2 linked regions of the Schizosaccharomyces pombe genome follow. The protein of the gene in region 1 interacts with the protein of each later gene in a pairwise test. Each region holds a gene or a part of one and is shown in the gene's direction. Other genes may lie near its edges.

Region 1 (4,423 bases):
GGTGCGAGTACAAGTAGAAGACGAATTGGCATTTTTAGGCTGCTTGATGGGAGCAGCCGTTTCTTTTACAGAAGAATTCTTATTTTCCCGTTCTGCAGCTCGTCGTTTTTTATCGCGTTCAATTTCTGCGAGGATTTTCTTACGCTGCTCAGCATCTTCAGCCTTTTGTTGACGGATCTTTTGCAAGTCACGTAAGCGGGCTTGATCCTGCATCTTTCTCATAGCCTGTGCAGTTTCATCATTGGATTTTTGAAGGATTTTATAATTTGTCTTCTTCTCTTCCAGAGCCAAAATCCTTTCTTTTTCCTTTTTCTCCTTTGCTTTCTCTCTTAAAGCTTCAATAGCTTGTTTTAACTCTTCGGGAGAACGCTTCTTAATCTATGTTTTATAATCGTTGTTAATAAAAAGAAAGGATCGAGTGAAACAAATTATTGTTTTCGTGAATTATAATAATAAGGATGGTTAACAATTCGAACGCTTCAACCATTCAGCAAAAAGTAAAAGGAGTAAAATCTATACATACCTCTTCTTCAGTTTCCTCAAATTGATCATGACTGGTTTTGGTACTATGAAATTCAGCCATTTCGATGGAGGAAAGCAATTTATCGCATTCCAAACATTTCAAAACCATTTTTGTGTAGAGTTTGTAGTTGCAAAAGGCAAATTACAATGACGCTCAAAAATAGCCCTACGTTCCATCGACTCAACATCTAACGTGCTAATATCTACAATATCGTATTACCAAACATCGCAGTTGAGAGCATTATAAATTTGTTGGTCATTGAAATAGAAATGACAGGTCAAATGAAACAAAATAATTGTAGTTACCACCGATTACGCTATGAATTAGAAGAATAAATGATTGTATATATTGCACGACATCCGCAGACCGATGATTGAAAATGATTACTGACTTTCGTGATCCTGTAGTTGGCATCCACTCGAGTAATTCGTTTCCTTTATACATGGTATGCTTTCTAAAGCATCGCTGATATTCCTTGAAATAAAAATGTTGATTTTTCCCTAGCATAATGACCATTAACGAAAGTATACAATATCTATTTAATGATTGTCTAAACCAAAAAACGTATTTCCTTTGAATAGAAAGTGTAAACGAATGCGCAATTTTTTTTTGAAATCATAATGTTTACTTCATCCTTGCATTCTTAAGTTGTAATTAAGACAATTCAAACGCATTAACATGACATTTAGAAATTAAAAAGGATAACTTGAATCATCCTTTTTGGGTATTTATATCATTTATTAATTTCACAAACAATAAATCCATATACTTATTGGGATTTTATAACCATACTGCATTCGTACATTATTCACCTACTGCAAAATATTTTTTAGCATATATTACTTTTTACTTTCAAAATATCACATTTATTTTAATAATATCGTTATAAGGCTTTGTATAATATCGATGAAAACAGTTACTTGAATAATTATCTCCTTTTATTTCAGTATCCATATATTACCATAATCTTTGCTCAGCCTCGGAAAATCACACACAAGTATGTGTGACGTAAAGCCACGATTTTTGGCTACACTGCGAAATGGTACTTCGCAGAGTAAAGTAGTACCACCTCTCGCAACAAACTCGCCTTTCCCGTAAATCATGGCTCTTGAATGTGATAGTACAATTGTGTTTCCTCGACCACTTACACGACTAGTAAAATGTGATTTAGAACTTCGCAATACTGCACCTTATCCGATCGGATTCAAAGTGAAAACTACTGCTCCTAAACAGTACTGTGTGAGACCCAACGGTGGTCGAATTGAAGCCAATTCGGCTGTAAGTGTTGAAGGTAAGATAATTTATATTTAATTTTGAACCTCATTTGCATTTTTTGATTTTATTCGTTTAAGCGGTTCCCATCATTGATGTTGTCGGGTGGAACAAAAACGTTGTCATCAACGTGATTTTCTTTTGCAAACTAACAGTTTTTATTGTTTTTGTGCGTGCACTGGAAGATAATTTGTGCTCATTAGTTATTGCTGTAAATTTTCATTTACTAACTTCTTTTTTTTTAATAGTTATCCTACAGCCTCTAGATCACGAACCGGCTCCTGGCACAAAATGCCGCGATAAATTTTTGGTCCAGAGCACTGAATTGAAGCCAGAATTACAGGGAATGGATATAGCAGATATTGTATGTGATAAAAGATATACTTACATTTACTTTTTTAATACATGCCATACATAATTGATGTTCTAACCAATACTTTAATAGTGGACTCAAGTCAGCAAGGCTAATATATCGGAACGAAAAATTCGATGTGTTTATAGTGAAGGCCCCAGTACTGCAAATGCTCATGCTAATGCTCACCATCAACCAGCTCAAACAACGACTACATCTATTCCTACTTCTGCCACTGACAATTATACCACAGTAAATGGTAATGTTAATCAATCTTACTCTAAAGGAATAGACGGAACGGCACTTCCTTCGACCCATGCAAATCCCGTAGCTGCTCCATCTACAGCTACTACACAGCATACCCAGCTTCCTAAAACATCTGCAGTTTCTCACCAGAAGCCCCATGAAGCCCCATCTACTGCCGTAAAAGCTCCTACTGCAACAGTCGCTGAAAATGAACCTTACCCAAAGCCTCAGTCAGTGCCTACTACCACTTCTCCTAACAATGAAAATAATGCATTAAGATCTACCGCTAATGTAATTAATAACACAAGACAATCAACAGCTACGAGTCCATCTATGTTCGCTGGAAACAGTGGAAATCAAATAGGACTTGCACGCGTTTCATCGTCTTTTGGGCGTCCGACTAGTGGTGCCAAGGTTGTTCCTCAAATTCATAACACAGTTACTGTGCAAACCGCTTTCCTATTAGCCATTATATGTTTCCTTATAGGCCTTCTGTTCTAGTTTTTAAATATATTGATGCATACTGTGCCAACCCATTCCATTGTCATTCCCAATGTTCATACTATTAGTATGACGATGAAAATTGTTTTGTGGATTTGTTTGTTGAAAAGTATGACTTCTTTCATGTACAAGTGGCTCATTTTTTTGTAATTGCTTAAGGTAATTTAATGCCTCTTCCATTCTGTTTTGTGATGTTTTATTGTGCTCTTCCAACTCTTCCAAAGGTAGTAAAGGGACTACAGGCCGATCCTCAAGTTGTCTTAAAACAACAAGCCACGCGCCCGTTAATTCATAGTACGCTTGACTTTTATAAACATTATGGTTGGGATTATGGAATTCTGGCAGTTCGTGGACAACGTTTGTAGCGGCATCAAGAAAAGTAATATTTTTCTCAAAACAAGTAGAGTATGGAGGTAAATAACAAGGAACCATATCATTAAGCGCATGTAAGACAGCCATGTACTTTTCACGAATTCTATTAAATGCGTAATCACCCCTCTTGTCACCACCATAGGGAAATGAGTCATTCAAGTTAATTAAAAGTTTACGCAACGTTTCAACACAAGTATCCATGGACGGCGCCGGTAATATGCCCCGTATATCACGTGCGAGATCAGGATGCTTTTCTACACATTGTAATAAAATTGTAAAAAGCTGTTGTTTGTCTGAATATTGTAGCAGTCTCGACAATGGCAGTTGCTCACCCACAGGTAGTTGACGAGCACGCTTAGAAATGTCTTCGTCAAAATCAGCTTTGCGTTTCTTAATCTGAGAATAAGATAAGGTCTCCATGAATTAAGGAAATGAACAGTAACAACAAATAAAGATACCAACTTCAAACGTGAAATCGTCTGATTAATTATAACAAAGAAAATGAAAATTACAAAGAAATGGATATTCCAAAAGAAAGAGGAAAAAATTTCAAAAGTAGTAACAATAAAACAAAGATAGAGGATACTTTGTTAATGAGCTTCCTTTTTTAAAAGCCGGAAGGATGGCTATTGCTCAGTGTATCGACTTATGAAAGCTAGCAATTTAATTTTTTTCTCAGCCCAAATGAAATAAAACCGTCGATTATAATTTCTATATTACAAGAAGCTCTATTGCCCGCAATACCAGCTCAATTAGAACCTCGATTTCTTAAAAAAGATAATGGAAAATGGTAAGAACAATTTAGTGGCTCAAGAGTTTTCTTCTCATGAGACGTTACCAAACTATTACTTAATTCCTTAATTTGTTTACTGAAAAAATTACATTTTATTTAATATAATGTCACCGCAGCTGAGTGTCAAGCCTACAATAATATGTTAACGCAGTACAGAAAATCGTTAAGTTGGAAGAGCAAAATAATAATTTTTTTCGAAGTAATTGTGCGTATGGATCAATGTTATAGTCAATAACTATTTAACTAATTGTTGTTGGTAAACAGTAGTCAATTCTAACTTATTGGTGATGCTAAAAATGAAAACAAAGCTTCATTTCAACTGATCATAGGCAAGTAATAAAAGCAGGGGGTAGACTTTACGTTC
Region 2 (4,950 bases), 2.1 Mb from region 1:
TAAATGAATTTTCGATACTATTTCAAAAGTTTTAACACTGTACTAATCGTCAAAATCCTTGTTGGTTCATGACAGGTGAAAATCCTTGCAGTCCTTTCGCATCCTTATATTGCACCGCGTTAGACGACGCAAGGTGGCAAACCAAAGCATTTCCCCCTGACGTCATAAAAAGAGCGGAGGAACTTGCGGTATAGGTAATACTACCCAACCGCACTCGGGTTCGCAATGTTATTAGTAAACGGCCTTCCGGTAAGCCTTACAGTAAAAGGAAAGGAAGCAGGGGCAATTGGAAGACCAGCAGTGGTACGAAATCTTCCTTAGCTTTATAGAATGAGGCTTGTGCTGATTGTCAACAATTTGCTGACAATGTGTGAAACGTACAGAGTTGGGTTGTTGAACAAATGTTCTGTAGCACTGTGCCAAAAGAGAAAAAATAAAAAAAAATAAAAAAAAAAGAGAGATAAAGGATAGTCGGTAAGAAGTTGAGCCTCTTTGTTTTCCTCTTTTTTGTATTGTTTTTAATTTTGTATGTATATGATAATAAGTAGGTATCTAATTATATTTGATTGATCCGATTAAACCGGACTATGACTGTAATAACCATTTTATTCACGATTAGTTAACGGTGTGCCACAAAAAACTAAAACAGATAAGGGCAAGTTTCGTATGGAATTATTGTACATTATCGTATTGAGTAAGTAGATAAACGTGTTTGATGACTATAGACATTAAAAGGATTATCGAGATTGTAAAATTTTGGTTTTTTTACAGATTAGAAAAAAAAAGAAAAAAAAAAAAAAAAGAGGAGAAGGACATGTTGCAAATCCGTGAGTCAATAAAACAATTCTGGAAGAAGCAATTTTTTAGTATTCACAATGTAAAGGAAAGGACGACAATTACAATTTCATTGAATAATCCCAAGCTATAGGAGAGACTTAAAACGAGTTTGAAATATTGAAGAATATAGAAGGATAAGAAAGTCGATTAGTATGAATTTTGAGATTCTATTAAAATATGAATAGCAGCAATTGTTAAACTATCAAAATTTTTCTTTTATTCATTATACAATGCTATTTACTTATTACGGTGAAAAACTAACACGTCAACCTCAAACAATTTAGGATTTAAACTTTCGCTTTCCAATCAAGTTTAGATTTTTATTTTCCCTAAAAGTAGTCTTCTCATTTGCACATGATTTTGTAATGCTAAGCTTGGGGTAAATGAAAGAGACCTCCCTTTTGTAAAAGAAATCTGCGTAATGCTTATAACATCGGGTCGTAATTGCTTGACTCAATAATGTAAACAAATTTTGTTAAAACTATTTGTCCCTTGAAGAGGCAGTGTTATATAGTCAGATTAGCAACACAATATATTAAAAACATCGAGGAAATTTGCATTAATAAATGCGAAATTTTCGTATTCTATATGAGCGAAACCTTAGCTAAATAGTATTGATTAACTCAGAAAAGACCAAGCATTCATAGCGAAATTAACATGAAAATTCGTGATAATAGCCTTGCTACATGAAGGCAAGAAGTTCGTTTGTTTTTAAGCAATGCAAGCATGGCATTATTATTAGCGCATTGGCTTCTTCTAAAAAACACAATCTTACATTTTAATTCGGTTGTGGAAAAATTTGATCTTTAGTTCAATGTCTTTTGTAAACTGATAATTTTAACTTCATTTTTTGGAAATGTGCATTTTGCTAATGCATATATAGCAGCAAGACCTTAAATAACAATATAAGTTTTCATGAGAACCATGTTTTCTTAATTAAGAAGACAGTAGTTTGTAAACTGTATTAAGATTATACATATATCAATATATGTTAATATATATATTTATTCATATATTCATTTTTTACAAAAGTGATTTTTCGGATTTCAAACTGTCTAAAGTTTGCATGTATAGAACACAAATTTATTTAGGGTTCAAATGATTTCGTACACAACTTTAACTTATGTTTCGCTTGTTGTATTTATTTACTTCAGCATTGGCGAGACGTGAGGGACCACACCATATTATGTATTTGCGGGTTTGTCAACACAGATTTAATTTACCCATAGCATATTACTTTATTTTTTAGCATTAACAGTATTTTGATTCGTTGTTTCTCGTCAATTCGCCTTTTTGTCTCTTTCTACATTTTTTGAAACACAGTTGGGAGCTATTGTCGCCGGTTTGTGAGAAAGATCACCATTTTACATAGAACGTACTGAAGGTATTGTATTTTGGCGATTGAACGGGCAACTCTCAATTTTTTTGCTTTTTTTGTATTTCAATTGTAGAATTGAATTGTTAGTTTATCACAAGCAATCTCAATTGCGGTTGATAATTCATTCCACTCCTCGGCCTTGGAATTTTGTCTTTGAAGCTACTTTATATAAGTCTTTTACTGGTTAACTTATGATTTTATGCAAATTATTTATCACCAATCATGAATAACCCTTTTAAGGATATGGATTGCTATGAAATCTTGCAAGTGAATCATGACTCTGACTTGCAAGAGATTAAAGCAAATTACCGGTATGAAAACTTGTTTTCAACTTAATCAATCAACATAGAATATAAATTTACAGCTTTTCGATCTGTGATTAAAACATAATCGTTTAAGTTGTGAAGAATTGATCGCCTTTGTGTATCTTTACTAATCATAACAGAAAATTAGCTTTGCAATATCATCCCGATAGAAATCCGGGCATTGAAGACTATAACGAAATATTTTCCCAAATAAACGCTGCATACAATATTCTCTCTAATGATGATAAACGAAAATGGCATGAAAAAGACTATCTAAGAAACCAATATTCTGTACAAATTGAAGACGTTTTGCAGCATCTACAAACAATTGAGAAAATCCCTTTTGAAAGCACCTCAGCGTTCGTTGAAAGACTGCGACAAGACGAAAAAATAGCGGGTTCCACAGACGACCTTCCAACTTTAGGGGACACAACTTGGCTTTGGACGTATGCCAAACCTATTTATCAAAAATGGCTAAGATTTTCAACGAAAAAATCTTTTGAATGGGAAGCTCTATATAATGAAGAAGAGGAAAGTGATGCAGCTACACGGCGATTAATGAAGAGACAAAATCAAAGGCAGATACAATACTGCATTCAGCGATATAACGAACTTGTCAGAGATTTAATAGGAAAAGCATGTGATCTTGATCCACGGAGAAAAAACGTTGTGAAACTAAGCGATGGAGAAAGATACAACTCCCTACAAGAAGCATCGCGAAAGCAAAGTGAACGTGATCGGCGTCAGTACCAGGAAACTTTTAAAAACCAATCAATTGCGTCTTGGACAATAATCGATCAGGAAGAAACATCCAGCGATGATGAATCTTTGAGCAAAGAAATTGTGAATTCAAATCCAATAATGTGTATGGTTTGTAACAAGAACTTTCGATCACAAAATCAATTGGAGAACCATGAAAACAGCAAAAAACATAAAAAAAATTTAAGGAAAATGAACCAAGAAATAAAAAAGCACGCAAAAGAAGCCCAGAAAAACGCGGAATCGAATAAACAACCCGAAGATGCTCCTAGCGAATCCCCATATTCGAACAAAGTTTCTTCCTCTGACTTCTATACGAGAAGTTTTGAGGAAATAGAAAAAACATTTACTTTTGTCGAAATCTCTGATAACGAGTTTTATACAGCATCCGAAGATGGTTTTTTGAACGAAGACGATAAGTTGGATCAAGATTAGCACCGCAAGCTTATCTTTTTTAATAGAATAATACAGGTCTGTTTTTTGCTAAGTTATATAAACCATTATTCATAAATTTTGTGACCAGCACGCAAACTTTCAATAAGCAATTGTAGTTTGTTATGATCAAAAATTTCCTTTTGCCTTAAATTGTCTAGCTCTTCTCCAAACTCTGAAGTAAGTTGTTCCATATATTCAGATAGTGATGGCTTTTCTGTTTCTTTTTTTGAAAATGTCTGAAACATAGGATTTTCAAGCATATTTGATACCGTCGATTTGTTATCGATTTTTTGATCGTTTGTTGCCATTTTTCAAAGCTTGTTTTGTCGAAGTTTGTAAATAATACAATTTTGCAAAATTTTTTTATTTTCGACTTCCTGAATCCCTTTATTACCCAAAGTTAATAATTGCGAGATTGGCGTAGTTACCAACTTTTTATACTTCACAACACTCTTACTTTTTCCATTAGATGAACAGCCTGGCTAGGTTCAAAATAACGATATAACTAGATAAATTTAGGCTATATTTTGACTGCAATAAAGTTGGGAAATTATGGAAAACAAAGACGCTTTAGATATTGGTAAAGATGACACAAATACTTCTGAAGCTGACGTTTCTAAAAATGAAACTCAAGAGCAACCCGTTCTTAGCAAATCTGCATTAAAAAGATTAAAAAGACAGCAAGAGTGGGATGCAGGTCGTGAAAAGCGAGCAGAGATGCGCCGGGAAAAAAAGCGATTACGAAAAGAGGAAAGAAAGCGAAAAATTGAAGCTGGCGAAGTAGTTAAAAGTCAAAAGAAGAGGATCAGACTAGGAAAGGTCGTTCCTAGTAGTATCCGAATTGTTTTGGATTGTGCATTTGATGATCTGATGAACGATAAAGAAATCAACTCTTTATGTCAACAGGTTACTAGATGTCATTCTGCAAATCGTACAGCTTTACATCCTGTAGAACTTTTTGCTACCAACTTTGGTGGACGTTTGAAAACCAGACAAGATTTTGTGCTAAAGGGGCAACAAAATAATTGGAAACGATACAACCCAACTACTAAGTCTTATTTAGAGGAATTTGAATCCCAAAAAGAAAAATTAGTATATCTTTCTGCTGATTCAGATAACACCATCACCGAACTCGATGAAGACAAGATTTATATTATTGGTGCGATTGTCGACAAGAATCGGTACAAAAATTTATGTCAAAATAAAGCGTCTGAGCAAGGGATCAAAACTGCAAAG

Evidence for each region. Proteins that work in one complex are often made in the same cells at the same time.
Region 2: the proteins of scs22 (region 1) and epr1 interact in a two-hybrid assay, tested with the Schizosaccharomyces pombe proteins (one study listed by BioGRID).

The regions. Positions count from the first base shown.
Region 1 is NC_003424.3:4,477,113-4,481,535, reverse strand, and holds scs22 (VAMP/synaptobrevin-associated protein family protein), read left to right. Parts: upstream 1-1,584; 5' UTR 1,585-1,624; coding exon 1,625-1,814; exon of another isoform or gene 1,815-1,986; intron 1,987-2,043; coding exon 2,044-2,159; intron 2,160-2,240; coding exon 2,241-2,894; 3' UTR 2,895-2,897; downstream 2,898-4,423. Other genes in the region: SPOM_SPAC17C9.11C (zf-C2H2 type zinc finger protein/UBA domain protein), read right to left, coding at 1-378, 524-631; nuclear proteasome tethering factor Cut8, read right to left, coding at 2,898-3,686. UniProt on the Schizosaccharomyces pombe protein: Vesicle-associated membrane protein-associated protein (VAP) implicated in maintaining the cortical endoplasmic reticulum (ER)-plasma membrane (PM) attachment.
Region 2 is NC_003424.3:2,423,754-2,428,703, forward strand, and holds epr1 (ATPase co-chaperone protein), read left to right. Parts: upstream 1-2,062; 5' UTR 2,063-2,437; coding exon 2,438-2,526; intron 2,527-2,660; coding exon 2,661-3,714; 3' UTR 3,715-3,779; coding exon of another isoform or gene 3,780-4,022; 3' UTR 4,023-4,214; downstream 4,215-4,950. Other genes in the region: ribosome assembly protein Rsa3, read right to left, coding at 3,780-4,022; tRNA m(1)G methyltransferase Trm10, read left to right, coding at 4,267-4,950. UniProt on the Schizosaccharomyces pombe protein: Reticulophagy receptor required for autophagosomal sequestration of endoplasmic reticulum (ER) membranes during ER stress. Confers resistance to ER stress by promoting the autophagic degradation of the ER (ER-phagy or reticulophagy).